Anolis sagrei: one gene and its partners. The protein of the gene in region 1 interacts with the protein of each later gene in a pairwise test. Links are inferred from orthologs where the notes say so. Each region holds a gene or a part of one and is shown on either strand. Other genes may lie near its edges. The genes, in order: EHHADH, NECAB2, TPP2 and MID1.

The links.
Region 2: the proteins of EHHADH (region 1) and NECAB2 interact in binary tests that used the Homo sapiens proteins (3 or more experiments, as listed by UniProt). The two-hybrid records come from large-scale screens. The link is inferred for Anolis sagrei from reciprocal best matches to the Homo sapiens genes EHHADH and NECAB2.
Region 3: the proteins of EHHADH (region 1) and TPP2 interact in binary tests that used the Homo sapiens proteins (3 or more experiments, as listed by UniProt). The two-hybrid records come from large-scale screens. The link is inferred for Anolis sagrei from reciprocal best matches to the Homo sapiens genes EHHADH and TPP2.
Region 4: the proteins of EHHADH (region 1) and MID1 interact in binary tests that used the Homo sapiens proteins (3 or more experiments, as listed by UniProt). The two-hybrid records come from large-scale screens. The link is inferred for Anolis sagrei from reciprocal best matches to the Homo sapiens genes EHHADH and MID1.

The regions. Positions count from the first base shown.
Region 1 is NC_090023.1:222,668,598-222,676,488, reverse strand, and holds the start of EHHADH (peroxisomal bifunctional enzyme), read left to right. Parts: upstream 1-4,775; 5' UTR 4,776-4,959; coding exon 4,960-5,024; intron 5,025-7,891. UniProt on the Homo sapiens protein: Peroxisomal trifunctional enzyme possessing 2-enoyl-CoA hydratase, 3-hydroxyacyl-CoA dehydrogenase, and delta 3, delta 2-enoyl-CoA isomerase activities. Catalyzes two of the four reactions of the long chain fatty acids peroxisomal beta-oxidation pathway.
Region 2 is NC_090028.1:8,410,309-8,417,345, forward strand, and holds the start of NECAB2 (N-terminal EF-hand calcium-binding protein 2), read right to left. Parts: upstream 3,082-7,037; 5' UTR 2,966-3,081; coding exon 2,681-2,965; intron 1-2,680. UniProt on the Homo sapiens protein: May act as a signaling scaffold protein that senses intracellular calcium.
Region 3 is NC_090023.1:113,554,414-113,562,336, reverse strand, and holds the start of TPP2 (tripeptidyl-peptidase 2), read left to right. Parts: upstream 1-4,811; 5' UTR 4,812-5,082; coding exon 5,083-5,247; intron 5,248-7,923. UniProt on the Homo sapiens protein: Cytosolic tripeptidyl-peptidase that releases N-terminal tripeptides from polypeptides and is a component of the proteolytic cascade acting downstream of the 26S proteasome in the ubiquitin-proteasome pathway.
Region 4 is NC_090023.1:92,978,581-92,986,078, forward strand, and holds the start of MID1 (E3 ubiquitin-protein ligase Midline-1), read left to right. Parts: upstream 1-4,444; 5' UTR 4,445-4,630; intron 4,631-7,498. UniProt on the Homo sapiens protein: Has E3 ubiquitin ligase activity towards IGBP1, promoting its monoubiquitination, which results in deprotection of the catalytic subunit of protein phosphatase PP2A, and its subsequent degradation by polyubiquitination.

The DNA of each region.
Region 1 (7,891 bases):
ATCTGCTCATCCATAGACAAACATAGCCATATCTAAGAAACTAGAGCTGATGTGGTCCATCTAATACAATTTTCTGAATCAGTGCCCCAAGTAACCCAAGGAACAGGTAAAAAAAAACCTCAAATAAACTAGACAAGACACCAAGAATTATGGGGGTAGGGCTGTCTAATATGTGTTCCACGGCTCCTTTCATACCTGGGCATAACAACAGCTGAATGTTCTTCCAGCTTGAGTGCAGTCACATCATTAGCCACAGCTCTACATGTCCTTGTCTTTTGTTCTTCCCCGGTAGCTGAATGCCTTCCAACCTGAACGTTCCATCTTTTGTACTATCTCTTTTCATTTTGGATTGTCTCATCATAGGGGTTTCATGATAAAAGACATTTGAAAGGGATTTACCATGCCTCCCTCAGTGCTGTACAAACAAGCATTAGATCTGATGCTACTACTGTTGTCTTTGAGAGATTGTCCACCAGTGTCACAGAAATCCACCTACTGTTGCCCAGCAGCTGTTTGGCACATTTTGTCTGGCTCTGCAGCAAAAGGCTGTCTAACACGAAAGACCCTATCGGCAGCACTGCTACTGTCAGCATAGCCTCAGAGAAGCACACAATCCTACCACTATGAAAAGATAGTGCCATGGTGGGATTTGTAGCTTGCACTCATATAAATTGAGGTCAGTCACATCTTTTGTCAGTCCTAGCCTGAACCAACACACACACTGTCCCTTGAAAACACAGTGTGCTTTATCTATAATCTGATGTCCTTGTTTACTTCATAGCTGAACAGCTGGCTAATGCTAAGCACAGAGCTGAGTAAAATTACACACAGACACACCCATTTTCTTCTATTTAAAAAACCAGATATTTATTTATTTATTTATTTAAAACATTTCTATTCTGCCCTTCTCACTCCAAAGGGAATTCAGGGCGGAGAACAACATATAAATGGCAAACATTCAATGCCGGGACATAAATATACATATACATAAACATTAGAATCACTTAACTCAATGTTAAAATCCTGTTTAAAACCGTCTCAATATTGTATGTAATTGATTACACTATGTAACATGATTTTTGTTCCTGGGTTATAAATGTCATTTTCCTCATTGGTGCTATCATAAAAACATGGGTAAAGTTTATTAAACTGGAAAAGCTTTGTTTTTGCGGTCTGCACAAAAGGTTAAAAATGGCACATTGAAAGGTTAAAAATGACAGCCACAAAAATGAAGTTTCTGGAGTATAACAACTACTTTCGAAGTAAGTAAAACACAATTAAGCAGGAAATAACAGTTTCAAACCAGGAACATATTTTTTTTTCAAATTTTGTTACATAGTGTTAGTAACATCACCCAGAAAGAACAAGCAGTTGAACTATCAGATTGAGGAAAATAAAAAATAATTTGAAATCATTTATAAAAAAGAACTCCTCAGCAAGTAGGAGCTGATGTGGCAGGAACATGAATCATGGTCTTTCCATTAAAAATTCTGCTTTGGTTCTGTTTAAATTGTTATGTCTGCATTTAAATCAGTGTGTGCCACTTTTGTACAACATTTGTGCTATTTTCTTTTTGGGAGTGTGTGCATCAGAGACCATTTTAAATGCCAATATGTGTATGTGCAATCACATGCTGCTTTATGGTGAACTTCATGAATGTCATAAAGTTTTCTTAGGGTGCATCTACATTGAAGAATTAATGCAGCTTGATACCACTTGAATTGCCATGGCTTCGTGTTATACAGTCCTGGGAGTTGTAGTTTAGTGAGGCACCAGCACCATTTGGCAAAAAAACAAAAACAAACTAAAGACATTGTAAAACTAGAAGTCCCATGACCCCATAGCATTGAAACTGACTGTTAAAGCAATGCCAAACTGCATTCATTCTATAGTGAAGATGCATGGAATAGAGAAGTGATTGTGCAGTTTCTTTTTTCCTGAGGATGCATCTACACAGTAGAATTAATGCAGGATTGTCATGTGTTTTCCAGGCTGTATGGCCATGTTCCAGAAGCATTCTCTCCTGACATTTTGCCTGCACCTGTGGCAGGCATCCTCGGAGATTGTGAGGTCTGTTGGAAACTAGAAAAATAGGGTTTATATATCTGTGGAATGTTCAGGGTGGGAGAAAGAACTCTTGTCTGTTGGAGGTAGGTGGAATGTTTCCATTGGCCACCATGATTAACATTTAATGGCCTGGCAGTTTTTAGGTGTGGCTTGTTACTGCCTGAGAAAATCCTTTTTTTTTTTTTTGAGAAAATCCTTTGTTGAGAGGTGATTAGGTGTTCCTGATTGTTTCTTGTCTGGAGTTCTCCTGTGTTTGAGTTTTGTTATTTATTTACTGTTATAATTTTAGAGTTTTTTTTAATACTAGTAGCCAGATTTTGTTCATTTTCATGGTTTCCTCCTTTCTGTTGAAATTGTCCACATGCTTGTGGATTTCAATAGCTTCTCTGTGTAGTCTCATATGGTAGTTATTACAATGGTCCAGCATTTCTGTGTTCTCATAGGATGTCCAGGTTGGTTCATCAAACGCTCTGCTATGGCTGACTTCTCTGGTTGAAGTAGTCTGCAGTGCGTTTCATGTTCCTTGATCCGGTTGGTGGGGACGAGGGAAGGGGCCTTCTCGGTGGTGGCCCCCTACCTCTGGATTGCCCTCCCCAAGGAGATAAGGCTGGCCCCATCCCGTAAGAACTTGAAGACTTGGTGGTTTCATCAGGCCTTCAATAATGACAAGTCTCAAGCCCTTGGTCCAACAGTTAGGACTTGGCCTTGTACCACATCCATTCCCCAGTTCCCTGTCATTTGAGGGCACCTTTTCTTCCAGCCAATACCTTTTATTATAGACCTTTAATTGGCCCTGGAATTGAGTGGCCCCAGTTCCCTAGTAGGGCCATTGCTGAGACTGATCCTTGTACTGTAGCATTTAGCTGGCCCCATTTTTCTCTTCTCCTTGCACTAGCCTTGACCCAGCCCGTTCCAAATAGTCCAGGCCCCTTATTGAAATCTGTTCTCCTGGCAGCTTACCTTGCATGAAGAAGAGAGTGATTTTTAAATTGATTTTAATGTATACGCTGTGTTAACAGTTTATGCCTATGTTTTTGTTTCATATTGCACGTTTTTGTATTATTTTGCATATGTGGAAACCGCTCTGAGTCCCCTAAGGGAGATAGGGCGATATATAAATAAAGTTCTGTTATATTATTATTGATGCGTATTTGGCATTGCTTTTGGTGGTCCCTATATAGATTTGTCCAGAACTGCATGGTATACTGTAGACTCCTGCAGAGGTGAGAGGATATCTCTTGTCCTTTGCTGAATGTAGCATTTGTTGGATTTTCTTAGTGGGTCTGTAGATGGTTTGTTGGTTGTGTTTTTTCAACAGCTTCCCTATTCAATCAGTGGTTCTCTTGATGTATGATAAGAACACAGTTCCTCTTGCAGTTTAATAACTGCAATCGTGCAGTGCTATGCATTTTTATAAGGTCCTTCGCCTCTTTCACTAAAAGAGCGCCATGACAGTCAAAGTGCTGTCAAACTGCATTAATTCTACAGGGCAGATGCCTCCTAATAACAGTGAGAGCTGGCTCTGTGTAGAAAATAATAGGATTTAGGGCAGTGTTTCTCAATCTGAGGGTCGGAACCCCTGGGGGGTCATGAGGGAGTGTCAGTGGGGTCACCAAAGACCATCAGAATACACAGTATTTTCTGTTGGTCCTGGGGGTTCTGTGTGGGAAGTTTGGCCCAATTCTATTGTTGGTGGGGTTCAGAATGCTCTTTGATTGTAAGTGAACTATAAATCCCCCTTTGTGGATTTATAGAACCCCTTTGGCAGAGAAGGCTGAGGATCTCTCCACCTGATCTTCTCTTCTTTTTTGGAAACAGACAGAGAATCCTCCCACCAAAAGCTCTCGTCTTCTATGATTGGCTGGCCTCTCAGCCAAGGGAAGGGCTGTTTCTAAGACTCCAAGCAAAGAGCGGAGAGCAGGCATGCTCCACACATGGCAGTGTGGTGCACATGTACAGGCATGGAGAGCATGTGAGGCTGGAGGAAGGCTCATGCCAGTGAGTCCCTTCAAGGCATGGGGGTTCTATATGGGAAGTTTGGCCCTATTCGATTGTTGGGGGGTTCAGAATGCTCTTTGATTGTAAGTGAACTATAAATCCCAGCAACTACAACTCCCAAATATCAAGTCTATTTCCCCCAAATTCCACTAGTGTTCACATTTGGGCATATTGAGTATTAATGCGAAATTCGGTCCAGATCTATCATTGTTTGAACCCACAGTGCTCTCTGGATATAGGTGAACTACAACTCCAAAACTCAAGGTCAATGCCCATCAAGTATTTTCTGTTGGTCATGGGGGTTCTGTGTGCTAAGTTTGGTTCAATTCCATCGTTGGTGGAGTTCAGAATTGTAGGTTGATTGTAAGTGAACTATAAATCCCAGCAACGCCAACTTCCAAATGACAAAATCAATCCCCACTCCAACCCCACCAGTATTCAAATTTTGGCGAATCGGATATTTGTGCCAAATTTGGTCCAGTGAATGAAAATACATCCTGCATATCAGATATTTACATGACGATTCATAACAGTAGCACAATGACAGTTGTGAAGTAGCAACGAAAATAATGTTATGGTTGGGGGTCACCACAACATGAGGAACTGAATTAAGGGGTCGTGGCATTAGGAAGGTTGAGAACCACTGATTTCGGGTGTATCTCCTTTTACGTGATTCCAGCCACTCCAAGGCTCTGTCTGCAGGGTGGGTGCCTTCATCCTGGTTAAAATTCAACCGAGAGTCTGGGCTCCAGCAGAAAGCCTCCTCCACCCATTTGCGCGCCTGCCCATCCGGGTCTTCCGCTTCCAAGAGGCCCCGCCTCCTCCCTCGCCTTCTCGCTGCCCGTCAATCAAGTCTAGCGTTCTCCTGGGGCGTCCGAGGCTGGTCGCGCGACGATGGCTCAGGTCCTGCGAGGCGTGCGCGTGATCAGGGTCTGCAACCCGCCCCTCAACACGCTCAGGTAAGGGTCGCCAGAGAAAGACCCATGCTATGGGATTCTGGGAATTGTAGCTTGGTAAAGCACTTGCATTCTGGCAGAGAAGGCGAAAAACCTTGCAAAACTTCAACTCTTATGATTCCATACTATCAAACCATGGCAGTTTGACAAGCTCTGTAGCTTTCTCTGCCAAAGGGTAGTGCTGCTGCACGAAACTACAATTCCCAGGATTCCACAGCCATGGCAGGTAAAGTGACTTGTAAATCACAGTGTAAATCAACCCCTAGATCAGCGTGATAGTAGGGTGCATCTATACTGTAGACTTAATGCCATCTGGCAGTACTTTTAATTGCCATGTCTCAATGCTGTTACCATGGGATATGTAGTTTGGTGATGTATCAGCACACTTTTGGCCAAAGAAGGCGCAAGGTCTGGTGAAATTACAACATCCATGATTCCAAAGCATTGAGTTGTGGTAATTAAAGTGGTGCCTAACTGCATTCTACAGCGTAGATCAGCCTTTAGCAAACTTTGTCCCTCCAAGTGTTTTGGACTTCAACTCCCACAATTCCTACCAGCTGGTAGGAATTGTGGGAGCTGAAGTCCAAAACACCTGGAGGTCCAAGGTTTGCCCAAGCCTGATGTAGATGTCTGTCTGTAGCACAACAAAAGCAGGATTCTAGCAAACAGTGCATATGGATTGTGAATGCTGTGATTGTATATCTTGCTACTTTGGAGAAACCATGCAGCCATGCATGGTTTCTCCAAAGTAAGTCCTTGCTCCAAAGTAAGTCCTTGCTCTGGAACACAGTCCAAACCTCTTGCATAATTGACCCAGGGAGAACCTATCTGAATCAATGCAGTTTGGTACTACTTTAACTGCCATAACTCAGTGTTATTGAATCCTGGGAGTTCTGGTTTCACCAGGTCTTTAGAGTGCTGGTGCCTCACCAAACTACAGATGTAATCTTTTAGTAGCATTGAGCCACAGCAGTGAAAGTGGTCAAAATGCATTAATTCTACTTAATGAAGCCCTATTGTTGGATGCCACTACACGAGAGAATTAATGCGGTTTGACACCACTTTACCTACCGTGGCTCAATTTAGTTTTACAAGACCTTTCGTTTTCTCTACCAAAGAGTGCTGGTGCCTCATTAAATGGACAGCTATTCAAATTCCATAGCATTGAGCCATGGCAGATTTATTTTTATTTTTTTGTCGTGTCAGGAGTGACTTGAGAAACTGCAATTCGCTTCTGGTGTGAGAGAATTGGCCATCTGCAAGGATGTTGCTCAGGGGATGCCTGGATGTTTTGATGTTTTATCATCCTTCTGGGAGGCTTCTCTCATGTCCCCGCATGAGGAGCTGAAGCTGATAGAGGGAGCTCATCCGCGCTCTCCCCGGATTCGAACCTGCAACCTGTCAGTTTTCAGTCCTGCCAGCACAAGTGTTTAACCCACTGCACCACCGGGGACTCTGCCATGGCAGATAAAGGGGTGTCAAACTGCATTAATTTGACAGTGTAGATGGGCCCATGAAGTCACTGTTTCACCCAGCAGGGAAAAGTAGCCATGACCCATCTTGAAACCACATATAAGCAAAGCAGATTATAGCTTGGATTACTTCTGGAAGAATATTCCTCACCACTGAAGAAGTAGTAAATCATCATCTGAAAAATCCCCGTAAACCAAAAGAATCTTGATTAATTTTTGTTGTAATCAGTAATGTTGTAATGGCAGGAGAAAAGTTGGTCATGGGTTGAGGACAAGTTAATATGTAAGCACAAAGATATCATTTCCCCCAGACTTTGGATACTAGTAGATTGGGCATAAAATATAGGATTCTCATTTATTATTAAAAGTTTTTTTAAAAAAATTTATATAACAAAGCATTTTGGATGTGAAATCTTTCTATGGTCTTTGAGCTGAGTGATTGCTAAAGAGCTAACAGATGTATTATGCCATTACCTACAAGTCATTACATGCATGGAGTTTTATCCAGAATTTCAGGTATACTTCATTGGCGGTGGAATGATTGACAGTGAGGTTGGAGAGGGAATTAAAGGGCCAAAGTACCAATGGTTACGTTCAAAAAGTGGCCATTCATAAACATGGAATTCACGTTGCCTATCAAATGCAAGGGGCCACAGTAGTGCAGCGGGTTAAACCGCAAAGCTGCAGAACTTGCTGACTGGAAGGTCAGTGGTTTGAATCCACAGGACAAGATGAGCTCCTGTTGTTAGCCTCTGTCAACCTACCAGTTCAAAAACATTCAGATGTGGGTAGATCAATAGGTACCTCTCAGATGTGAAGGTAATGATGCTCCATGCAGTCATCCCGGATGTAAGGGCAATCTGGCTGCAACATCTGTCACCCCACTGATTGTCAGGGTTGATTCGACTGATCTGGCTGGCTAGGCGGGTGTCCCCTTCCTCCCTCACTGCTCCATGTGCATCCCTCCTGAAGCTATGCACTCGGTGGAAGAGGATGATGTCCCAGGTATAGAAGGAGTGTACCGAGGTCTCCAGTCTTTGGTCCCGGGTATACAATATATGCGCTCCCCTGCTAGAGCCTCCAAACATGCTGGCTACATGACGTTGAAGGGTCTACTGACAAAGCCGGCTCTTCGGCTTAGAGTACCCCCCCCCCCCGAGTTGAACACTACTAGACTTAATGTCAAGGGGAAACCTTTATCTTTACATCAAATGCAATATACATTTTAAAAATCCACATATAAAGGGAATTCAAATTCATATTTATTTGAGTTCATTCAAGTGCTTCTGTCCTTTAGCTGTACATTACCAGAGAGAGTTCAGAGCTGATGGAAAGTTTTAGCGTATTGAGTTCATTTGTATCAACTGCCAGAATACAACATAACATTTTTGATAGTTC
Region 2 (7,037 bases), on another chromosome or scaffold:
GATCCCCTTGCCCTCCCTTGGACTTCCCAACTCATATCCAAGCCTTTCCCTATGGACACTGGATAGCCGAGCCATCACAAAAGGTTCTCCTAAGGGATATCTGTAGCCAAGGAGAGCTGGTTGAGTCTTGTGGGTCTCTCTAGGCAGAAGGAGGAGTGCTAGGAGCTTTGCCCCAAACTCTTAGCCAGGGAGGGAGACTATGGGATCCCTTTGCCATCCTCTGGACTTCCCAATTCAGATCTAAGCCTTTCCTTCCTGAAATTGGACAGCTGAACTATCCCAAAAGGATCTCCAAGAGATGACATTGTAGCCAAAAGGAGGCGGTTGGGTTTTGCCAGATAGCTCTCATTCCTCCTGGGCAGAAGGAGAAGAGATGGGGAGCTTTGCCCCAAACTCTAGACAGGGAAGGAAGACTATGGAATCCCTTTCTCTTCCTCTGGACTTCCCAATTTGCAATCCAAACCTTTCTTTCCTGAAACTGGATAGCTGAGCTGTCTGGAAAGGTCTCCAAAGGGACGGCTGCAGCTCAAAGAGAGGCGATTGGGTTTTGCCAGGTCGCTTCCCTTTCCCCTGGACAGAAGGAGAAGAGCCGGGGGACATTTCCAGGAGCTTTGACCCAAACTCTTACCCAGGGAAGGGAGACTATGGGAGCCCTTTTCCATCCCCCGGACTTCCCAATTCAGATCCATGCCTTTCCCTCCTTAAATTGGACAGCTGAGCTGTCCCAAAGGATCTCCAAAGGGATGGTATTGTCTGTAGCCAAAAGGAGGCGGTTGGGGTTTGCCAGGTTCCTCCCGTTCGAACTGGGCAGAAGGGGAAGAGCTGGGGAACTTTGCCCCAAACTCTAGCCAATGAAGAGATCTCCAAAGGGAGGTGTTTGGGGTTTGCCGGGTCGCTCCCGTTCCACCTGGGCAGAAGGAGAGGAGCTGGGGAACTTGTCCCCAAACTCCAGCCAATGAAGGGATCTCTGAAGGGATGGCATTGCCTGTAGCCAAAAGGGGGCAGTTGGGGTTTGCCAGGTCCCTCCCGTTCCAACTGAGCAGAAGGAGAAGAGCTGGGAAACTATGCCTCAAACTCTAGTCAATGAAGAGATCTCTAAAGGGAGGTGGTTGGGGTTTGCCGGATCTCTCCTGTTCCACCTGGGCAGAAGGAGAAGCGATGGGGAACTTTGCTTCAAACTCTAGCCAGTGAAGGGATCTCCAAAGGGATGTTATTGTCTGTAGCCAAAAGGGGGTTTGCCAGGTCCCTCCCGTTCCAACTGGGCAGAAGGAGATGAGCTGGGGAACTCTAGTCAGTGAAGTGAAGAGATCTCCAAAGGGATATTATTGTCTGTAGCCAAAAGGGGGCAGTTGGGGTTTGCCAGATTCCTCCCGTTCCAACTGGGCAGAATGAGAAGAGCTGGGAAACTTTGCCCCAAACTCTAGCCACTGAAGGGATCTCCAAAGTGATGTTATTGCCTGTAGCCAAAAGGGAGTGGTTGGGGTTTGCCAGGTTCCTCCCGTTCCAACTGGGCAGAAGAGAAGAGCTGGGGAACTTTGCCCCAAACTCTAGCCAATGAAGAGATCTCCAAAGGGAGGTGATTGGGGTTTGCTGGGTCTCTCCCGTTCTAACTGGGCAGAAGGAGAGGATCTGGGGAACTTGTCCCCAAACTCTAGCCAATGAAGAGATCTCCAAAGAGAGGTGTTCAGGGTTTGCCAGGTCCCTCCCGTTCCACCTGGGCAGAAGGAGAGGAGCAGGGGAACTTGGCCCCAAACTCTAGCCAATGAAGGGATGTCCAAAGGGAGATGGTTGGGGTTTGCCAGGTCCCTCCCGTTCCAACTGGGCAAAAGGGGAAGAGATGGGGAACTTGGCCCCCAACTCTAGCCAATGAAGGGATCTCCAAAGAGAGGTTGTTGGGGTTTGCCAGGTTCCTTTCGTTCCAACTGGGCAGAAGGGGAAGAGCTGGGGAACTAAGCCTCAAACTCTAGCCAATGAAGAGATCTCCAAAGAGAGGTGGTTGGGGTTTGCCAGGTCCCTCCCGTTCCAACTGGGCAGAAGGAAAAGAGCTGGGAAAATATGCCTCAAACTCTAGCCATTGACGAGATCTCTAAAGGGAGGTGGTTGGGGTTTGCCGGGTCCCTCCTGTTTGGGCAGAAGGAGCCGGGGAACTCTTCCCCAAACTCTAGCCAATGAAGGGATCTCCAAAGAGAGGTTGTTGGGGTTTGCCAGGTTCCTTCCGTTCCAACTGGGCAGAAGGGGAAGAGCTGGGGAACTAAGCCTCAAACTCTAGCCAATGAAGAGATCTCCAAAGAGAGGTGGTTGGGGTTTGCCAGGTCCCTCCCGTTCCAACTGGGCAGAAGGGGAAGAGCTGGGGAACTTTGCCCCAAACTCTAGCCAATGAAGAGATCTCCAAAGAGAGGTGGTTGGGGTTTGCCAGGTCCCTCCCGTTCCAACTGGGCAGAAGGGGAAGAGCTGGGGAACTAAGCCTCAAACTCTAGCCAATGAAGAGATCTCCAAAGAGAGGTGGTTGGGGTTTGCCAGGTCCCTCCCGTTCCAACTGGGCAGAAGGGGAAGAGCTGGGGAACTTTGCCCCAAACTCTAGCCAATGAAGGGATGTCCAAAGGGATGTTATTGCCTGTAGTCAAAAGGGGGAGGTTGGGGTTTGCCGGGTCGCTCCCGTTCGCAAGCAGAAGGGACTCACATCCAAGATGACAGAGGCGCCTTTCCGCAGCTCGGGCATCTCGGCGTGGGCGGCCGAGGCGGCTCCCCGCCGGCTTCTCTGACCCCCTTCTTGGTCCTCTTCCTCGTCCTCTTCTTCGTCGTCGGCGGGCAGCTCCCTCTCGGGCAGGAGGCTCTTGTCGCTCATCTTGGCCACGATCCAGCGGAGCAGCCCGTCCGGGCCCGGGGAGACCGGCAGCGCCCGCTCCTCTTTGCGCAGCAGCTTGTGGAGGCTCGCCCGGCAATAGCGCGCAGCCTGCTCACACATCTTTGACGGGAGCCTTCATCCTGGAGGAGTTTCCCCTCCGATCCTCCCTCCCTCCCTCCTTCCTCCCTTCCCTCCTTCCCTCGCCCGCCTCGGAAAGAAAGAGAGGAAGAGGGAAGAGGGGAGGGAGGAGGGAGGGAAGCAGGCAGGCAGGAGAAACCCCACCCGCCGCCCCGCGTGGAAAGGGAAGGAGGGGCCCAGAGGGAGGGGAGGGGGCATCTACACTGTCGGAGAGGGAATGCGGTTTGACACCACTTTAACTGATATGGCATTGGCTCTTGTAGTTCAAGAAGGTGCTTCTAGGCTGTAGAGTGAATGCAGTTTGATGCCACTCCGACTGCTCAGTGTTGTTGAGATCCTGGGAGTTGTAGTTCGACAAAGGGATGCTTCTAGGCTGGAGAATGAATACAGTTTGATACTACTCTACCTGCCCTGTGCTCCTGGGAGTTGTAGTTCGACAAGGAGATGCTTCTAGGCTGTAGAGTGAAGGCAGTTTGACACCACTCCAACTGGTCATTGCAGTTTGATGCTACTCCAACTGCTTTGTGCTATTGTAATCCTGGGAGTTGTAGTTCGACAAGGGGATACTTCTAGGCTAGAGAATGAATACAGTTTGACACCACTCCACCTGCCCTGTGCTCCTGGGAGTTATAGTTCGACAAAGGGATGCTTCTAGGCTGTATAGTGAATGCAGTTCAACACTACTCCAACTGCTTTGTGCTATTGTATTCCTGGGAGTTATAGTTCGACAGGGGGATGCTTCCAGAATGTATGCAGTTTGACACCACACCAACTGCCCTGTGCTATTGTAGTTCTGGGAATTATAGTTCGACAGAGGGTTGCTTCCAGAATGAATGCAGTTTGATGCCACTCCAACTGCCCTGTGCTATTATAGTTCTGGGAGTTATAGTTCAACAGAGGGATGCTTTCAGAATGAATCCACTCTGACTGCCCTGTGCTACTGTAGTTCTGGGAATTATAGTTCGACAGGAAGATTATTATTATTATTATTATTATTATTATATTTCTCCCTCTCCCCATGGCTATACAATCCTGACAGTTGTAGTTTCATAAGGGGGCTGAGAAACCCCTTCATTCATAGAATCACAGAATCAAAGAGTTGGAAGAGACCTCATGGGCCATCCAGTCCAACCCATTCTGCCAAGAAGCAGGAATGTTGCATTCAAATCACCCCTGACAGATGGCCATCCATCCTCTGTTTAAAAACTTCCAAAGAAGGAGCCTCCACCACACTCCGGGGCAGAGAGTTCCACTGCTGAACGGCTCTCTCACAAATCATTAGTGTGCACATGTCAAAGTCCACTCCAAAACTGCATTTGTTTCAACTTTGCCAAGTATTGTATCAAAATCAAACCACAGAATCCACTTGATCCCCCATATTTATTTGTTTTTCGAACTATACTCCAGGCCCTCAACGGCTTAAAAAGTTTGAGGACCCTTCTCTTACACTCTCTTAGCTTCGTACAAGAGAAATGGGAAATAAATACGCCCTAAATATCTGATGATAAGTGGCTGCTTAGTGGCTTATTCTACCCACCTGCTGGAAAACAGTGTTCGAAAGCACCCCTTGCACCTGGAAACAACCAAGTGAATACAGTGAAAAATCAGGACTCGTAGCAACTCTGCACAAATAACAAAGAAAGCCACTTTCTCTCTCTCTTTGGGCCCACGTTCCCCTCCCTTCGCCCGCACTCAGCCGGGAGCTTCAACTAATTAAAGGTTTCCCGCAGGCAAAGGCAAGCGGTGCCTTTGGAGCCAAATGTCACCATTTACTCATATTTGCTAATGAACAGCAGACTGGGACATGTTCACCTGTTTAGCAACCAATGGAAGGCATAGCAACCATTCGGATACATAACGCAAGACTACCAATGGCTCACAAGAATGGCCATCAGACTAGAAAAAATCAACTTATATCCCCATACCAAAAAAGGGAAATGCGAAAGAGTGCTCAAACTTCCATACAGTGGCCCTTATTTCTCATGCCTGTAAGGTAATGCTCAAGATCCTGCAAGGAAGACTCCAGCAAGACATGGAGAGAGAGTTGCCAGATGTTCAAGCTGGGTTTAGAAAAGGCAGAGGAACGAGAGACCAGATTGCCAATATCCGGATGCTGGAGAATGGAGAAAGGCAGGGAGTTTCAGAAAAACATATACTTCTGCTTCATTGACTACTCTAAAGCCTTTGACTGTGTGGATCATAATAAACTGTGGCAAGTTCTTGGTGGGATGGGCATCCCAAGCCCCCTTCCCTCTCTCCTGAGGAATCTGTACAAGGACCAAGTAGCAACAGTCAGAACTGACCACGGAACAACAGACTGGCTCAAGATTGGGAAAGGCGTCCGGCAAGGCTGCATACTCTCACCCAACCTTTTTAACTTGTATGCAGAACACATCATGCGAGGATGTGCGGGGCTTGAGGAATGCAAGGCTGGGGTGAAAATTAACACCCCAGCCTTGAAACATTAACAACCTCAGATATGCAGATGACACCACTCTGATGGCTGAAAGCGAGGAGGAGCTGAGAAGCCTTCTAATCAAGGTGAAAGAAGAAAGCGCAAAAGCCGGGTTGCAGCTAAACATAAAAAAAACCAAGATTATGGCAACAAGAATGATTGACAAGTGGGAAATAGAGGGAGAAAATGTGGAGGCCGTGACAGACTTTGTATTTCTAGGCGCAAAGATGACTGCAGATGCAGACTGTGGCCAGGAAATCAGAAGACGCTTCCTTCTTGGGAGGAAAGCAAATAGTAAAGACTAGAGACATCAGACTGGCAACAAAGATCCATTGCCTAGTCAAAGCCATGGTATTCCCTGTAGTCACCTACGGATGTAAGAGCTGGACCTTAGGGAAGGCTGAGCGAAGGAAGATCGATGCTTTTGAGCTGTGGTGCTGGAGGAAAGTTCTGAGAGTGCCTTGGACTGCGAGAAGATCCAACCAGTCCATCCTCCAGGAAAGAAAGCCCGGCTGCTCATTGGAGGGAAGGAGACTAGAGACAAAGTTGAAGTACTTCGGGCACATCATGAGGAGATAGCAAAGCCTAGAGAAGACAATGATGCTGGGGAAAGTGGAAGGCAAAAGGAAGAGGGGCCGACCAAGGGCAAGATAGATGGATGGCATCCTTGAAGTGACTGGACTGACCTTGAAGGAGCTGGGGGTGGTGACGGCCGACAGGGAGCTCTGGCGTGGGCTGGTCCATGAGGTCACGAAGAGTCGGAGACGACTGAACGAATGAACAACAACAACCAATGGCTTATCCAGGTTGGCCCGAAGTGGGATTAGTCGTTCCCTAGCATCAGAAGGATTACAATGGTGGCAGCCACATTTGTGTAGCTTACATGACCCCTGGAACATGGCAAGGCTCGGAACTTACACTGAGCAACAACAAATACCATTAAAAGGAATTGTTGTCATTTGGGTTGGTATCGAAGGGGTTAGAGAGCTAGGAAAAATAGAAAACAGCCAGCCAAAATAAAGTTCAGACAAAATCTCACACATGCTGTGGAGCAATAAGGAGTGAGAAATGTAGAGAAATCAAGAGTTCAAACCTAGGGAAAAGTTCAACCTAATAACACACCAAAACAACATTGATAAGAGAGGCACCAAAGGAAGGAAAAATATGAGGCCAATTCAGAGAGAAAAAGCTTGTGTGCACATGCTCAAAGTACGCTCAAAGTTTTGACTATAAAGCTAAGTTGCGTCTTAGTTTTGGTGTGACACTTTTCTTTTGTTGCTCCACCCGGCAGGAAGTTTTGGCCAAATAAACCTATTGAACAATCTCCTTGTTCCTAGTGTTTGACTGGATAGAGACCCCAGGAATTTTGGGACCATAAAGAGGACACAACCCCAACAGTATCAAGTTGGTAGCCCACTGCATTAAACCACTACTGACCGAGAGGTCATGAGTTTGAAGCCAGCCCGGGTCGGAGTGAGCTCCCAACCATTAATAGTCTAGCTTGCTGTTGACCTATGCAGCCCAAAACACAATTGCATCTGTCAAGTAGGAAATTTAGGTACCGCTTTATGCAGGGAGGATAATTTAACTAATTGTTTT
Region 3 (7,923 bases), about 110 Mb from region 1:
TGGGAAAAAATGTCTCTTAAAATATGCAGAACTGAGATTGAACACTTGGATGACAATCTGGGCTTGGTCAGGAATACTGAGAACCCTATCTTTTACCCATCTCAGTTGGGAGAGCACCAAAACAGGAAACAGAGTTCAAACCTTATTTATCTACTAGCTTACTTGTTCTCCTTGATTTGTTTCTATGTTGAGTGAACTACTTTAAAAAAATCATTATACACATAATCTAAACTTCACCATTAAGACCACCAGTTGTCACTTGCAGATACCAATGTCTAGTTTGATTTCCATGTTCAGAGAGTATCCGATTATTTTAAGGCATGTTATCTGCCCCTTTTGTTTATGTGCTGACTCCACCCCCACCCCCACTGCCCACAAAAAAAAACAGTTTGTCATTTGACTGAAATAATTATGTTTTATGTTCAAGACAGCTCACCTCCATGTAGGAAATCATGGCATTTACTGGTAGATTTTATGCATTTATATGAACTATCTCCTCAAACTGGAACCTATGGCAACATACAAGTTTTAAACACAAAACATTTAAAGAGTAAAACACAAACTATAATATATAAAAACTATCCCATTCCTACTATTTTGGACAACTATATACCAGTAACTTATTTACCATTCATTACCAAGAACCTGGAATGGGTGGTGGCCAAACAACTCCAAAGATTTTTGGATAAAGCTGATTTTCTAGATCCATTTCAATCTGGATTCAGGCTGGGACATGTGATGGAAATAGCTTTAGTTGCCTTGAGTTGCCTTGAGAGCAGAGAGCTGGACAGGGGGAGTGTGACCCTGCCAGTCCTTCTGGATCTCTCAGCGGCTTTCAATACTATCAACCATGATATCCTTCTGGAGTGACTTGCGAGGATGGGACTGGGAGGCACAGTGTTGCAGTGGTTCGTCTTTCCTTTTGGGCCACCGCCAGAAGGTGGTGTCGGGTGGGGAGGTCCTGCTCAGCCCCATGGTCTGTGGACTGTGTGGTCCCGCAGGGCTCATCTTTATCCCCAATGTTGTTTAACATCTACATGAAACCACTGGGAGAGATCATCCAGAGGTTTGGAATTCAGTATCATCCATACGTGGATAATGCTAATCTCTATTACTCCTTTCCAACAGATGCCAAGGAAGTCGTTCCACACCTGAACCAATGCTTGAGGTTGGTAATGGACTGGATGAGGGTAAACAAATTGATGCTTATTCCAGATAAGATGGAGGTACTGCTGGCCTTGCGTAAGATTGATCCAGAAATAGGGTTACAACTTGAGCTGGATGGGGTTACACTCCCCCTGAAATCCCAGGTTTGGGGATGATTCTGGATTCTGCCTTAAATCTGGAAGCCCAGGTGGCAAGGTAACCAGGACTGCCTTTGCACAACTAAAACTTGTGTGCCAACTGCACCCATTCATGGAGAAATATGACTTGGTCACTGTGGTACATTTGGACTACTGTAATGTGCTCTACATGGGACTGCCCTTGAAAAGTGTTACTTACCAGGTTACTTATGGAAGTTGATTCCAGGAAGCACACCTGTTGAAACAGCTCCATTGGCTCCTGATTTGTTTCTGGGTCCAATTCAAGGTGCCGGTTTTAATCTATAAAGCCCTGCATGACTACCAGCCTGTATAGGGCGTCCGTGTCCCCGTATACGGGCCAGTAGACCTCTAAATTGTTTTTAAATTGTTTTTAAATGGTGTTCAATTTTAGCCTGTTCTTGTAAGCCGCTCTGAGCCCCAGGGGAGTGGCGGCATATAAGTTCAAATAATAAATAAATAAATAAGGTCTAGTAAGGAGACCCTGATTTTTACACAGTCCCTGGCCAACATCCACTTAAAAATCACTAGAGAAGGGACATTCTTGGGGGCGGCTTCTAAGTTGTGGAACTCACTGCCAGAGGAAATTAGATTGGTTCCCACCATCATGATATAAGAAAGACATGAAGACTTTCCTCTTCGAAGCAACTGAAGCCAGTAAAAATGAATTCAAAAGAATGGGAATTTTAGGCTAAAATTTACTTTTAATGTTTAATAATGAGGAAAGTTTTAAAGAATTAGTGAACCTCTAATATTTGTATAGTTATGGTTTTTAATTATTTGTATGTCTGATATAATGTGAGCCGCTTTGGGTTCATACTGGAGAAAGGCAGCATAGAAATTTCCGTAACAAATAAAATAAATACATTGAATTAAAAGCAATCCAACACACAATTAAAAAGCACCGAATCCTTCCTCAACAGTCATTAAAAGCTTGACCTGCTGACAAGGCTAGACAATCCCATATCAAATGTCTTGCTTGGCCCGATCTGCAGCTACTGCATTCTGCTGACTGTAATTACAGAGCTCTATTAGACTGGGAACCTTGTTTAACATGTAAGACTTAGTAATTATGTTCACTTAAACACATTGACACCACTTTTAGATGCCTTTCATATCAACATTTGGTGGGGAAGTGGAAAGGGCAGGTCAAAAGCGTGGTTCCTTGGTATTCTGTATGAGGCTTAGGAAAAATGAACTAGAACTAGATCCTCACAATTATCAAAATGGGTGTACCTACAATCAAGATGTCTTCAAAATAACATGTGAAGATGTTTATAGTGTCAAAGAGGGAGACAGCTTGCATAGCATCATCTGACACTGCTTCTCCTAGAGGAAATCCAAGAGATGACTCACTAGGACTCCTTCTACACTGCCATATAATCCAGATTATCAAAGCGGATAATCCACATTATCTGCTTTGAACTGGATTGTATGAGTTTACACTGGCATATAATCCAGTTCAAAACAGATAATCTGGATTTTATATGGAGGTGGAAGAGGCCTAGTTCCTGCATGAAAGACTATCTAATGAAGGAGAGTCTGTCCTTCCTACAGATGATCGGCTTTGTTTTTGAACAGCTCTTATCATGAAGAGGTTTTTTCCTGATGTTCAATTGAAATCTGTCCTCCTATAATTTGAAGACATTTACTCTAGTCTGTGGCAAAAATGATTTTGTGAATAACTTCAGGTCCTGGATTTTAATAGCTTGCAATTCTGGGAGCTGTTGCCTAAATCATGAAGTTGCAAAGTTCTGCAGTAACAAGACTGTTATCATTCCCATTCCCCTTCATCAGGATAAACATGACGAGTTCTTCAAACTTTTCACATAGGACTTCTTTTTGTTCTGCTGTCCATATGTGAAAATGTTCTTCCTTCCTTATGTTCCAATTCAGCTTTATCTGTCAGTCAGGGATGAGCACAGTATACTGTAGCCTCCATTGACCCTAGCCAGCATCACCAACCTGAGAGTTGCAGTCCAGCAGCATCTGTAAGGGCCCAATTTGCCTGTTCTAAATGTACAGTGCCCAAAATTGGATATTGTGCTACAGCAGAGTTCCCTATATGTCAGGAAAAAAGAGAGAAGAGAAATAGAAAGGGTAAACACAGAACAAAAAACCAAGTAGACTGGAGTGTCCAATATCCACAGATATCAACTCAAGATCTTCTGTTACATCATGCTGTGCAGGAAGGCATTCTTCCATTTCTAGCTTCAAGGCTGTTATTGGGGGACTGCTCTGATAAGCATATTAGCTGCAATATTGTCCTCCACTGTCTTCTTCTGTGAGTTTTTAATTCACACTTTGAATTCTTTGTGCTTTCATGAGGCACCCATGGTTCCTCATGCAGAAAATATTTTTCTCAGAATTTCTGATGCCAACTCTTGAGACATAAAAACTCTGTACTCCATGCAGATTGTAGGACACACTTACAACTGCTATAAAGTAGACATATGTTCAGCAATTCACACAGAAATACACATGTTTCATTCTACAAACACACTGAATACAATCTGATGATTATCTACACCATAGTTCAGGATTCTCGAAACCTATCTTTACAATTTCAGCAGTATGTATGTACACAGTACATACTGTGTATCTGATGAAACTATGGATAACATTGAATCCTATAGTTTACCAATACTTGGATCAGAAACATATAATAAAATAACACTGGAGAAGCTAGGGAGGTGCACAACACTTCCAGGACATTTGCTCTTTTTTTTCCCCTTCCCTTTTTTTGGTGCTGGTTATTGACCTTATTTATTTATATCCCGCTTTATCTCTGCTGCAATATTATTAGTAATATTATATTATTACATATGATTGTATTGTACTATATTACTCTACCACTCTCTACATGTATTGCCATGTTTAAGTAATAATGCTGATTTTGGTGCATCCTCCATATTTGTATTCTTATTCTTATTTATTTAAATACCCTTTTCCAAAATTGTTGTATAATTTTACAGGATCACTATATATGAAAATATGAGCCTATTTCCTGACAGCCTCTCCAGTACTGATTTAAGCATTTTTATCTATCTGATTTAATCTAATCGGGATCAAGTACCATATCCATACCGTTTTGTAATAGTTTTCCTTAATTATTATGGACATATTTTTATTTAGTAATCGCATACGCCATACCCTGGCCCATTCTTGGTTCTCCCACCGGTATATTACACGATTAGTATAATAAATATGTATGTTCCTGTGAAAAGGGCCTTGGGAGCGCTATGGATCCCAAACGGAACCTGAGCCAACAGAGGAATCTCGCGTTGTTTGAGGGAGAAACAGCTTGGGTGGCGTAGTCGAAGATCTCGGACTTGCCGGCCCCTTTAAGAAACGCGGTACTTATTTCCTCATTGGTCTGAGCCAGGACCAATCAAATTCCAGTTCTCTTCTCGCGCTTCAACCTGATTGGCTGCTTCCTTCCGGGCGTCAGCTCTGCTCTCCGCAAAATCTCCCTTCCGACTTCGGCATCTGTTGTAACCAGTAAAGCAGCTCGCCGCGCTCTCTTCGGGGTGGTGGATTCCCATTGGCTGAGCAGCGCGCGCATGCGCCGGCCGGGAAAAAGAAGCCTGAAACTCTCTTCCTTCCCGGAGGAGCCGCGGTCTGGGTTTGCCAGAGCCGTGACGTCACCTGGGTCCGCGCGACGCCTTCCTCGTGTCGCGTGCGTGCGTGCCTGGTGGCCCACCTGACCCCCCCCTCCCTCCCTCCCTCCCCCGCCTCGCGCGTTTTCTCCTCACCCAACATGGCGGCGGGGGCCGTGGAAGAGCCGTTCCCCTTCCAGGGGCTTCTTCCCAAAAAGGAGACCGGCGCGGCCGCCTTCCTCTCCCGCTACCCGGAGCATGACGGGCGGGGGGTGCTAGTGGCCATTTTGGACACGGGGGTAGACCCCGGCGCCCCGGGGATGCAGGTAAGCGGGGCGGGCGTGACCTGTTGGTGGGGCTGCTTTTGGCTTGTCTGAGGGAAGAAGTTTGGGATCAGGAGGGATTTATGATGACTTCTGAGGGCCTCTGTTTAGAGGAAAGTACAGTAGGGAATTTTCTTAGGCCCTCAGAGGAGTAATCGCGCTCATCAGCATCCAGTGCCTGAAATGGTCAGAATTTAGTCGTTTGTAGAAACGAGCCGCAACCACAGGGAAAGCCCTGCTGAATCCAGCCAAAGGCCTTTCAAGCCCAGCATCCTGTTTCTTACACAGATTGAGGGTTTTCTGAAATGCTTGGGAAATCCACCAGAAGTGTAGATTTGACCTTATATTTTATTAGTATCGGTGTCTGTCCTTGATCTGTGTATATTTAAATCTATGCACTTTTATCTGGGTTTTGCATTTTATCTGAGTTTTCACCATGCTGTACCCTGTCTCAAGCCATGAAAAGAACCGCATAACAAGGAAAATGTATTATTAATATGTGATTTCAGATTATTGTTGTTGTTGTTGTTGTTGTTATATGGATCTCCCGGTGGCACAATGGGTTAAACCCTTGTGCTGGCAGGACTGCTGACCGAAAGATCGGCGGTTTGAATCCAGGGAGTGGGGTGAGCACCTGTCTGTCAGCTCTAGCTCCCCGTGCAGGGACACAAGAGAAGCCTCCCACAGAATGGTAAAACATCAAATATATATATATTGGCATTGAATCTTGCCAATACTTTTTGTACACGGCTTTGAACCCCCCCCCCCCCAGGAGTGAGAATATAAATGCAGTAAATAGAGAAATATCCGGGTGTCCCCTGAGCAACATCCTTGCAGAAGGAAAAATCTCTCACACCAGAAGCGCCTTGCAATTTCCTAAGTTGTTCCTGACACAAAAACATTATTATTATTTTGGGTTACCTGTATTTATTCCCATCTACATGATGAAAGATTTCTGGGATGTGATCCAAACATAACATTCATTTATGCATGTTATGTTTAAACACATAGCCTGGGGGTAATTGTATATGCTACATTTGTAATAATTTAGTGCATGGAACAAAGCTTGTGTACACTGAACCATCAGGAAACAAAGGTGTCACTATTTCAGCTTCCCATGTGGATGATTTTGCATCTCAGAGTATTTTGGAATCCCAGAGAAAGCATGCTCATGATGTCTGTAGTGGGAAGCTTGCAAGCATAACGTGAATTGTCTTGTTTTGTAGTGTCCTCTGAAATTGTTTCTTTGGATACAATACCACTGAATTGTTGAGGTAGCACATTATGTTTGGAGGCACTAACAGAATTATTGTTGTAATTGAAATAAAGGTTCTGCAGGAACCTGGTTTATTGTGCATATGTAAGCAAATCATAGATTTAGCATGACATCCAGAGCCGATAGGATAGAGGTTTCCAAATATTTCATGTTGGTGACACACGTTTTAAACACATATCATTTTGTGACACAGTAATTCAGTTTTACTATCAAACCGGAGTTTAAACCAATTCCTGATAAGAGATACAGGTACATACATAATTTGGAATAACAAAATGTATATCTCATATTTATTTTTATTTCACATAAACACAGAGGTTTCTCATTATTTTCGTGCAACACATTTACACACTACAACCAACACATAGTTTGGAAAGTTCTGCAATAGAAGAATACTTTTCGAACTTGAAATACTTTTGCCCCAAATATCTGATCACCTCAATTAACCTTTTGGCAGGTGTTGGCAGAGGACTGCATTGACATTTGGCTTCCTCTGGTTCTATAGGCTTCATTTTGTTCATTCCTGTGCTGAACATATCCTGAAAGCCATGTTTTCTTTGCTTACTTTCAGCAAGTGAGTGCTTTTGGACCAAAGGATTCAGTATGCTAGTTCATGTATAACTAGCTTGGATTCTGCTACTGATAGTGGTGTCTGCAAAAGCCTGTAGAATGGTAGAAAACAAATGTCTTTTTTAATGGCAAAATGAAATCACTTGGGTTTGTTGCAGTGGAAGAGCTTGTGGTTGCATTAAGATACTTGAAGAATGACCAGAAATTTTGTTTTGGAGCAGATTTAAAAATGTATCATTTTTTAGTTGTAGGAATGCCACCCTCTCGTAAACACTTTATTCATCTTCCTAAAGAAAATCATTCCACAACAATCTGTTCATTTTTCCTTCTATTTTTAAATGGCATCTTGGAGAGGGAGGATATTTTATAGACTTTCACAAATCTATGTGATTTCATTTCAGTGAGCAAAAGCAAACCAGTTCTTTCTTAGTAGGGATTGGGTCATATCCTCTAACTATAGTTATGCTTACTGTGTATTATGAATGAGGATTTTTTGTAGTGTTAGCTGCTAATCAGAATTAGATCAAGGGAACACCTTGTTTACACCCTGAGGAGGAAGGAGTATACATTTTTTAATATGTGGGAGCATGACACCAAAGGATGTTTGCTTTTGTGAAGTCAGTGTTCAGGCAGCAGTGATGATTATAATGTTTGCCACTTATAAGGGTGGATAATACATTAGATGTGCTATTAAAGAAAAGTATTTCTGCCTGTAAATGGACTGACATTACTGTATATAGTGTGTAAGTTAACCTCTTGTGTAAGTTGAGGGCAGATTTAATTATGGATTTTGATTTCATATGATCTGTGGATAAGTTGAGGGTCATTCTGGG
Region 4 (7,498 bases), about 130 Mb from region 1:
CGGATAAACAAAATAGTTAAAAATGCAAGCAATGGATGGCCCGAAATCAGATTTCTTTCTGCTCTAGTTCATAGAAAGAATTGGGAGTTTTTAATCTATAAACAAGTTAGGCCACAACTTAATTTTTCAAGGTTTCTATGTTCTGGGTGGATGGTGGGATGTGGCAGAAATAAAATATGTGCATATGATATTGTCTGAGAGGCATCCCAGTGCATTTGGCACAACTTGTTTATTATATATGATAGATGTAAGGAAGAAGCTAATTCAGTGTATCTTCTGACTAAAGACTTCTGACATTTTGAAGTGTGTGGTTTTGGGACTGGATTCTTCCTTTAATTACAATGAGGAACAAACACCGGGAATCTGTATGAAGTACAAAACAAAGCTTTATCTACTGTCCTATTTTTTAAAATGTACTATCTAATCTTTATGTAAGCATTTCCTCTCCTGCTGTGGCTTCTTTTGGCAAGGTATTCCATCACTGCCTAGTTGTTCTGATTAGGAAGTTTCTCCATATCTAATCTAAGCTGACTTGTCTTTAATGCAGAGTAATGTGTTTGTACAGATAATACATTCCCTAGTCAAGCTTCAACTTCCTATTCTATTGTTTCCCTTATTCAATATTTTTACTGGCATTGATTTTTTTATTTTTTTCTTCTTCCAGAAGCTCAACCTTGGCTCCTACTGTACCATGAAAGCCAAACATTAATATCTGGAGGGGAAGAGGAAGTTATAACTAACTATAGCATCCATAAAAATGCACTAAAGATAAAGTTTCTGTGCAGAACATAATAATATGATGATCGTAACATCTTGTTGTTCACTTGGGAGGGAAAGAAATGCCATAAGAGAAAAGTTATGGATTAATATAACTTTCTGGTCCTTTTAGGTCACCACACGTCAGAAAATATATCTGTCACTAGTGCAGAACTGGATGCTGAATCTCCTGACTCCTGGGTGAATGTCGCAGTGAAAAATGTACGTTGATCTCCAAACTTCCTCAAAGTTCTTTTTCTCCCAAAATGTTTACTCACTTACCTGTTCTGGCTGCTCTGTCTCACGTATATTTCACCCTATGCCCTTTCCTTACCTGATGACCATGATTATTCTATCATACAGAGTAGACACAGAGTTGGATTCAAAAGGTGATGCCTTGCCTGCAGGTTCAGGGTGGCAAAAGTAAATTTTCAAAATTGAAGCCAATAAGACAGCCAACTAGAATGAATATATATATATATATATATATATATATATATATATATATATATATGGTAAGCACATATGGAAAGCTGGGCCAAAACTTACAAAATGTATATTAACAGGGATAAATATAGTGCCTTTAAGCAGGAAAATGAAGCATAAGGATATAGGATAGGTAACACCTGACTTGACAGGTGTACATGAGAAAATCATCTAGGGGCTAACCATGTGTCAACAATGTATAAAAAAGCCAGTGCAATTCTGGGCTGCATCAAAGAGGGTATAGTGTTCCAACTCAGAAACGGTGTAGCCAAACTAGCTTGCTTTGGTCAAATCTCGCATAAAATATTGTTTCCAGTTGTGGCTATCCCAGACAATCTGGATAGTAATAGGTCTAGACAAGATTAGGAGGAACATCTTGGCAGGAAGAGCACTGGAATGGATTGTCTTGGGGTGGAAAGGAGATTTCCTTCAGCAGAGATCTTTAAACAAAGGTTGAATGGCTGTCTTTTAGTACTCCTATATGACAAGGTATTGGATTAGATAACCCCTGCAGTCCCTTGCAATTCCAGTTCTACGTCTCTCTTTTATGTGGTAGGTGTCTTTTTGGCCTAGATTTGTGAAATATGGTTGGTGGTCAGTGCGGTCAATAAATCAATTCTTGATTTTACTGTCAAACTCAAACGATGTACTTGTTGGCCCTCCATACCTACAGATTCTGCACCCATGAATTAAACCATTCTTGGCTTGAAAATATCTCCCCCCCCCCACTCTCCCCAAAAATATTCTGAAAAACAAACCTTGATTTTACCATTTTATATAAGGGACAACTTCCATTAAACATCATGGCATACGGTGGGACCTGAGCATCCTCAAATTTTAATATTCACTCAGGGTCTTGGAAGCAAACCCCAGAGGGTACAAAGGGCTGCAACTACATAAAAACAGGAAAATGATGAAAACACTTTTTAAAAATGTAGTTTAAAAATCACATACTTAAAGCAATCTCAAATTCCACTTTGGTTTTAAGGACCACAGGCTGTATGATCAGGTAGTTCTGACTGGACATTGCAAACTCAGGAAATATTGGACTGGCCTGACTTCTCTTTGGGGGGAGTCCAACAGTTAGGTTTAAAAACTGAGAAAGACCCATCTTTGTATTCAACTGACTTGCTTCTTTGGATTTCAACAGGGCCTCATCTAAAGAGTTATGTTCTTGTAGACAATGTTATAGACCTGGTCATTTTAATGCCAGTCATTTAGGATTTTGCAGTCAAAGGCAGCAGAAGGCACCATGGTACAATGGTCTGAGCACTGGATTTTACGTTCTAGGAGACCAAGGTTCAAATCCTTGCTTTACTATGGCAATCCACTGGATAATGGACATGTCACACTCTCTTGGACTCAGAGGAACACAAAAGAAAACTCTCTCTGACCAAATCTTGTCAAGAAAAGCCCACGATAGAGTTGCCATCAGAAATAACACAACAACAAAGTCAAATCCAGCACATTAAATTAACCCTGGAAACAGATTACATAACTATGAAGTTTATATCAGACTAGTGATACATGATCTTTAAAATGTGCACATGACAAAAGTCTGGTTACCACTAGCTGTAAGCCCTAAACACATTCCAAGTGCATTCTCATGTACAGTCCTTTATAGTAGTCTAATCAAGAGACAATAAAGGTATGAACCAGATCAGCCCTCCTATAGAAGAGCACAGCTCGTACCCCACCAAACTTGAGCAAGAGCATACATAACACCCACCTGATCTTCCTGAAGCAATGGAAGTAGCTGTACATCACATGTGTCAAACTTAAAGTCCATGGACCAAATCTGGCCTGTCACATCATTTCATGTGGCCCCTGAGGTCCGGACAATCCCTATGCTGGTGCTGCCCTCTTTGCCAAGCATTGCCTGCATTTCAAAGGCAGCAGGGACCTAGTTGTGAAGGAGCGTGTTTCTGGCCAGAGATCATTTCCCTCCTCACAATGGTTGGTGTCCTAGACACCGCAGGGGAATAGGCCTGGGCCCGGGCAACCTTTCTCCCAAGGAGCTAGGCTGGGATTTACTGCTTGAAAAAATGGTGTGCCTATTTCTGCCCCCCCCCCCCCCAGCTGAGCCACAATACAATTGCCCTTGCTCTGTGGCACAAATTAGGAAGGAGATTTTGAAGAAAGGCAGCTCCCCCTATTTTGATCTTCTTTACAGAGGGTCTGAGCATTATATGATACATGAGGTTGTTTGAACCAACCTTTGCTATAGTGGCCTTTACATTTGGGAAGTATTTTAGGCTTTCAAAACCAGAGCAACATTTTATTTTCCTATTACTGTTATTTTTCATTTATTTATATAGCGCCATGTATTAGGATTTCTATGCCAGGGCAACATAGTTAAATTTATACAGTCTTAAAATTGAAAATAGCCCTTTGAAGGCAACCATGGGGCTGATGTCTCCCTCGGTGAAAAAAAATGACACCCCTACATAACAGTTTACAGTTATGTACAGTTATGTCACCTTCTCAACCTCTGAGGAAGCTTGCCATAGATGCAGGCGAAACGTCAGGAGAAATGCCTCTAGAACATGGCTCTATAGCCCGAAAAAACCCACAAGAACCTAGTGATTCCAGCCATGAAAGCCTTCGACAATACAATGACACCCCTGCTTTCCATTGCAGATGGGTGATAAGGATTATCCCAATACCCACCAATTTCCTCATTTTTGTAATGGCAAGAAGTTATTTTAGAAATTTGAATGTGGGACAAAGCAAAATTAAAAATTCTTAGATTCCTAGAACTCTCAATGTTGATAAAATCCACAAACCACAAAAAGAGTGATTGTGAAAAAAAGACTGAAGGCAAACATATGTTGCATCTCTCCTATTTCCAACCAAACTGACAATGATAATCAAGCAAGAGTTCCTACCCGACTGTGGTGAAAGTTTGATACCTGAATACATAGTCTTTGTGTGCTTAATGCATATATCAAACTTTATGCCCTGTATTCTGTACTAACTAGCAGGCGAATTAGTGAAATCATTTGGCATTCCTTGAGTTAACAGCAAATCGTTTTAAGTTACTTCTTTTTTTTCTATCCTCCATTTCAAGAATGCAGTTTACAGTTATGTATATAAGGAAACCTGTTAGGCTTAAATCAGGCTGTCGGGTGTTTAAGCTGCCTGGAGAGACATGTAAGCAGCCCACACCCTCCAGTGTGGGAGTGTCTGGTAGGCTGGACAGAGCAAAGCTTCTTGAATCAAAGTGACTACAAAACCGTTCAGCTGTTCCTCACAGAAACAACGCAGACTAGCACAACACACACACAAAGCCCCGACTTATCTTGGAGCAGCTATCGATTTGGTTTTTACCCCAGAACTTTCAGCAAAAGAGAATCCACTCTCAGAAAAAGAAATAATGGAGGAGACGGTAAGATACTATACTTTTGAGCTTCGTCTACTAGCTTTGTTTGAAATATTTAATTTTGCCTGGGTCTTTGCTTTCAGCTGTGATTTCCCATTCCTAAACTGGCATGTGTGTGTTATAAATAACTTCTTACAGTGTATGGTGGGCAGTATGTAAGCACCAGCTGCGTGGATATCGGTTGTTGGAGCTTTCCTGACTCTTCATGTGCTTCCAATTATATTGCCTTTTTTTTTCAAAAGTGACAGCAAACTTTCTTACCTCAGATACATTAGAGATGCATCTTGAAAGGAGGATGGAATGAGTTAGAAATTTAAGAACAAGCGTAGCAGTCTTTGTTACATGAGTATGTTGTTTAATTTAGAATTCCAAGACAGCTTTACTTATATCTGTTGCTTAAAAAAACTGTGGTGACAAACATATCCTTGTATGCTGTGTTTAATGAATAGCATTGTTTTCGACTTTACATGATAGAGAAGACTGGTTGCAACTATTCAACTTTTAAAAGCCAGCAGACATAGAAAATTGAGAATTGTGGGAAGAAAGATATTTAAGAAGTTTTATTTTGGAACTCCAACTGCTATACAGATTTCTTTTTGAAAACATGTACAAAGAAATTTAAGAAGTTTAATGAGTTTTTTCCTTTGTGAAGTTTCATTTCCAGTCCTGAAATTTTGTTTGCAGTCTTTGGTTCCTTGAAATCAATGGGAAAAGATGATATCTATAAGTATATGTATATACTTATATTGTTGAAAAAGCAAGCTAGGTTATGATATTAGTAATATAATGGAGCTGTGAGGAGAGGCAAATAAGAAATAATAATAAGACTAATAATAGGTTTTAATGTCTATATGTTTTTAACTTTATGGTTTTTAATTCATTTTTTTTACTTAGTTGTATATCTGTTTTATGCACCATTGAATTTTTGCCTACTTGTAAGCTGCTCTGAATCCCCTTCAGGGTGAGAAGGGTGCGGTATAAATATAGTAAATAAATAAATAAATAGGACCAAAATAAATAGAAATTTGGAAACGAACACTAGTTTATAATTTAAACAAGTTATCTAATTCCTGTGAATGTGAGAGTGTGTGCATGTATGTATATAAACACAATGACATATGCAGCAGTCCTCTGCACATCTATCTGGGAATAGGTCTTATTCAATTTGGTGAGCTTTCTAACTAGGCGTGCACATGATTGCAATGTTATTTGTCCTATAAAATAAATGAAATGATATTTTTATGTCGGTATGTTCTGAATGTTATTAATTTTTGTACGATATAATCAAAAATGTATTTTCAGTGTGAAATGTATATTGTAACTACTGTTGAGCATATCAGGCATGTAGCCGGGGGGGGGGGGGGGGCTTGAGGGGCTTCAGCCCCCCCCCCCCCCAAATTCTCATGGTGGTTTGCGAAAAGGCCTTACTGGTGCATTATTTAAACTGTTATGTTTATTCATATCATGATCTGATCACCATACTCAATATATCCCATATGCATGGGGGTATTGGGGTAATGATACAAAAGATTTGCTAGGGTAGACCCTCTTTCACTCAGACTCAGTCTCCCCCCCCCCCCGAAACTAACCCCCCCCCCGAAACTCCCCCTGAAAAACACTCCCCCCCCCCCCCGAATCGAAATCCTGGCTACAGGCCTGGAGCATATAATTTAATACTGCATTCAGCCATTTCTGGTTGTTCAAATATCAAGTTTGTCAAATGTCAGTTAGTATAATGCAGTTTCTAATCAAAATAGAATCTGAGTGCTTGAAGTCGACAAAGTGCACATCACCTCTTTTCTCAGTTTTCATCTTAATTATTATTGTGCTTGAAAGCTAGCAAATGAAACATTGAATGATGATTTCTTACTGAAAAGGCTTAAAAGCATCCTGCATACATATCCAACTAGGATTGTTACATGGCTCAGATTTGGTTTGGTCCTTATGCCAGCATAGCTCCACTGTTGTAGACTCCGCTGGTGGTGAATCAATGGTAGGAGGACCTCATCACATTAAAAGGATGAATCCACTTTAAATCTGGTTTCTGTCTCCTCTAAAATTCTGGGGTTTGTAGTTTAGTGAGGCTTTTAAAGGCTCCTCCCTAAACTACAAACCCCAGAATTCTGCAGGAGGCAGCAACCGGATTTAAAGTGGGTTCATTCTCAATGAATGGAGCAGTTGAGAAGGGAGGCAGGCAAATTTTGTGAGGTCTCAGGAGAAGAAGGTTGCTCATTCCCAGCAGGCTATTCACCAATACAAGTCTTCTTAGGAGAAGGAAGAGTTGTCCTTGGAATTAATAGTCCCTTGGCATAGTCAATTTCTCATGTCAGTCTTCTCTAAATTTTGAACTCCAAGGACATCTACAAAGGCTAGCATAGAATAATATAAACAACTTGAAGTTGACAGCCTTCCTCTCCTCATATAATGATAATAATAAAGCCACATAAGAGCCTTTCTTCTTTCATAGCTGATGCAAAGCCTAGGTAAAAGTACACTGTGCAAGTATAACAGACCATTTTTTTGACATTGTGAAAAAACAGGATTTTTTTCACAGTCACCCTAGATATTTCTGAGCGCCTCAATATCTTGGAAAATTCAGCTCCACAGAAAACAAAGAAAAGGAAAAAAAGGTGTTGAATACTTCATTGAAAGGAAAATCTAATCTATGTGAGTATAACTTCATATAGACAAGCTGGAAAATGCTATAATAAATTTTCTTTAGGGTTGCCACAAGTCAGAAATGAGCAGTTGGTTGCAGTATCGCCACCATGGTCACACTGGATCATTCAAGGCAGTGTATCTAGAGCCAGCACTATTTTCAGGAAAATATCATTGGGCACACTGCTCCTTCCGTTTCATAAATTTAGGAGATGG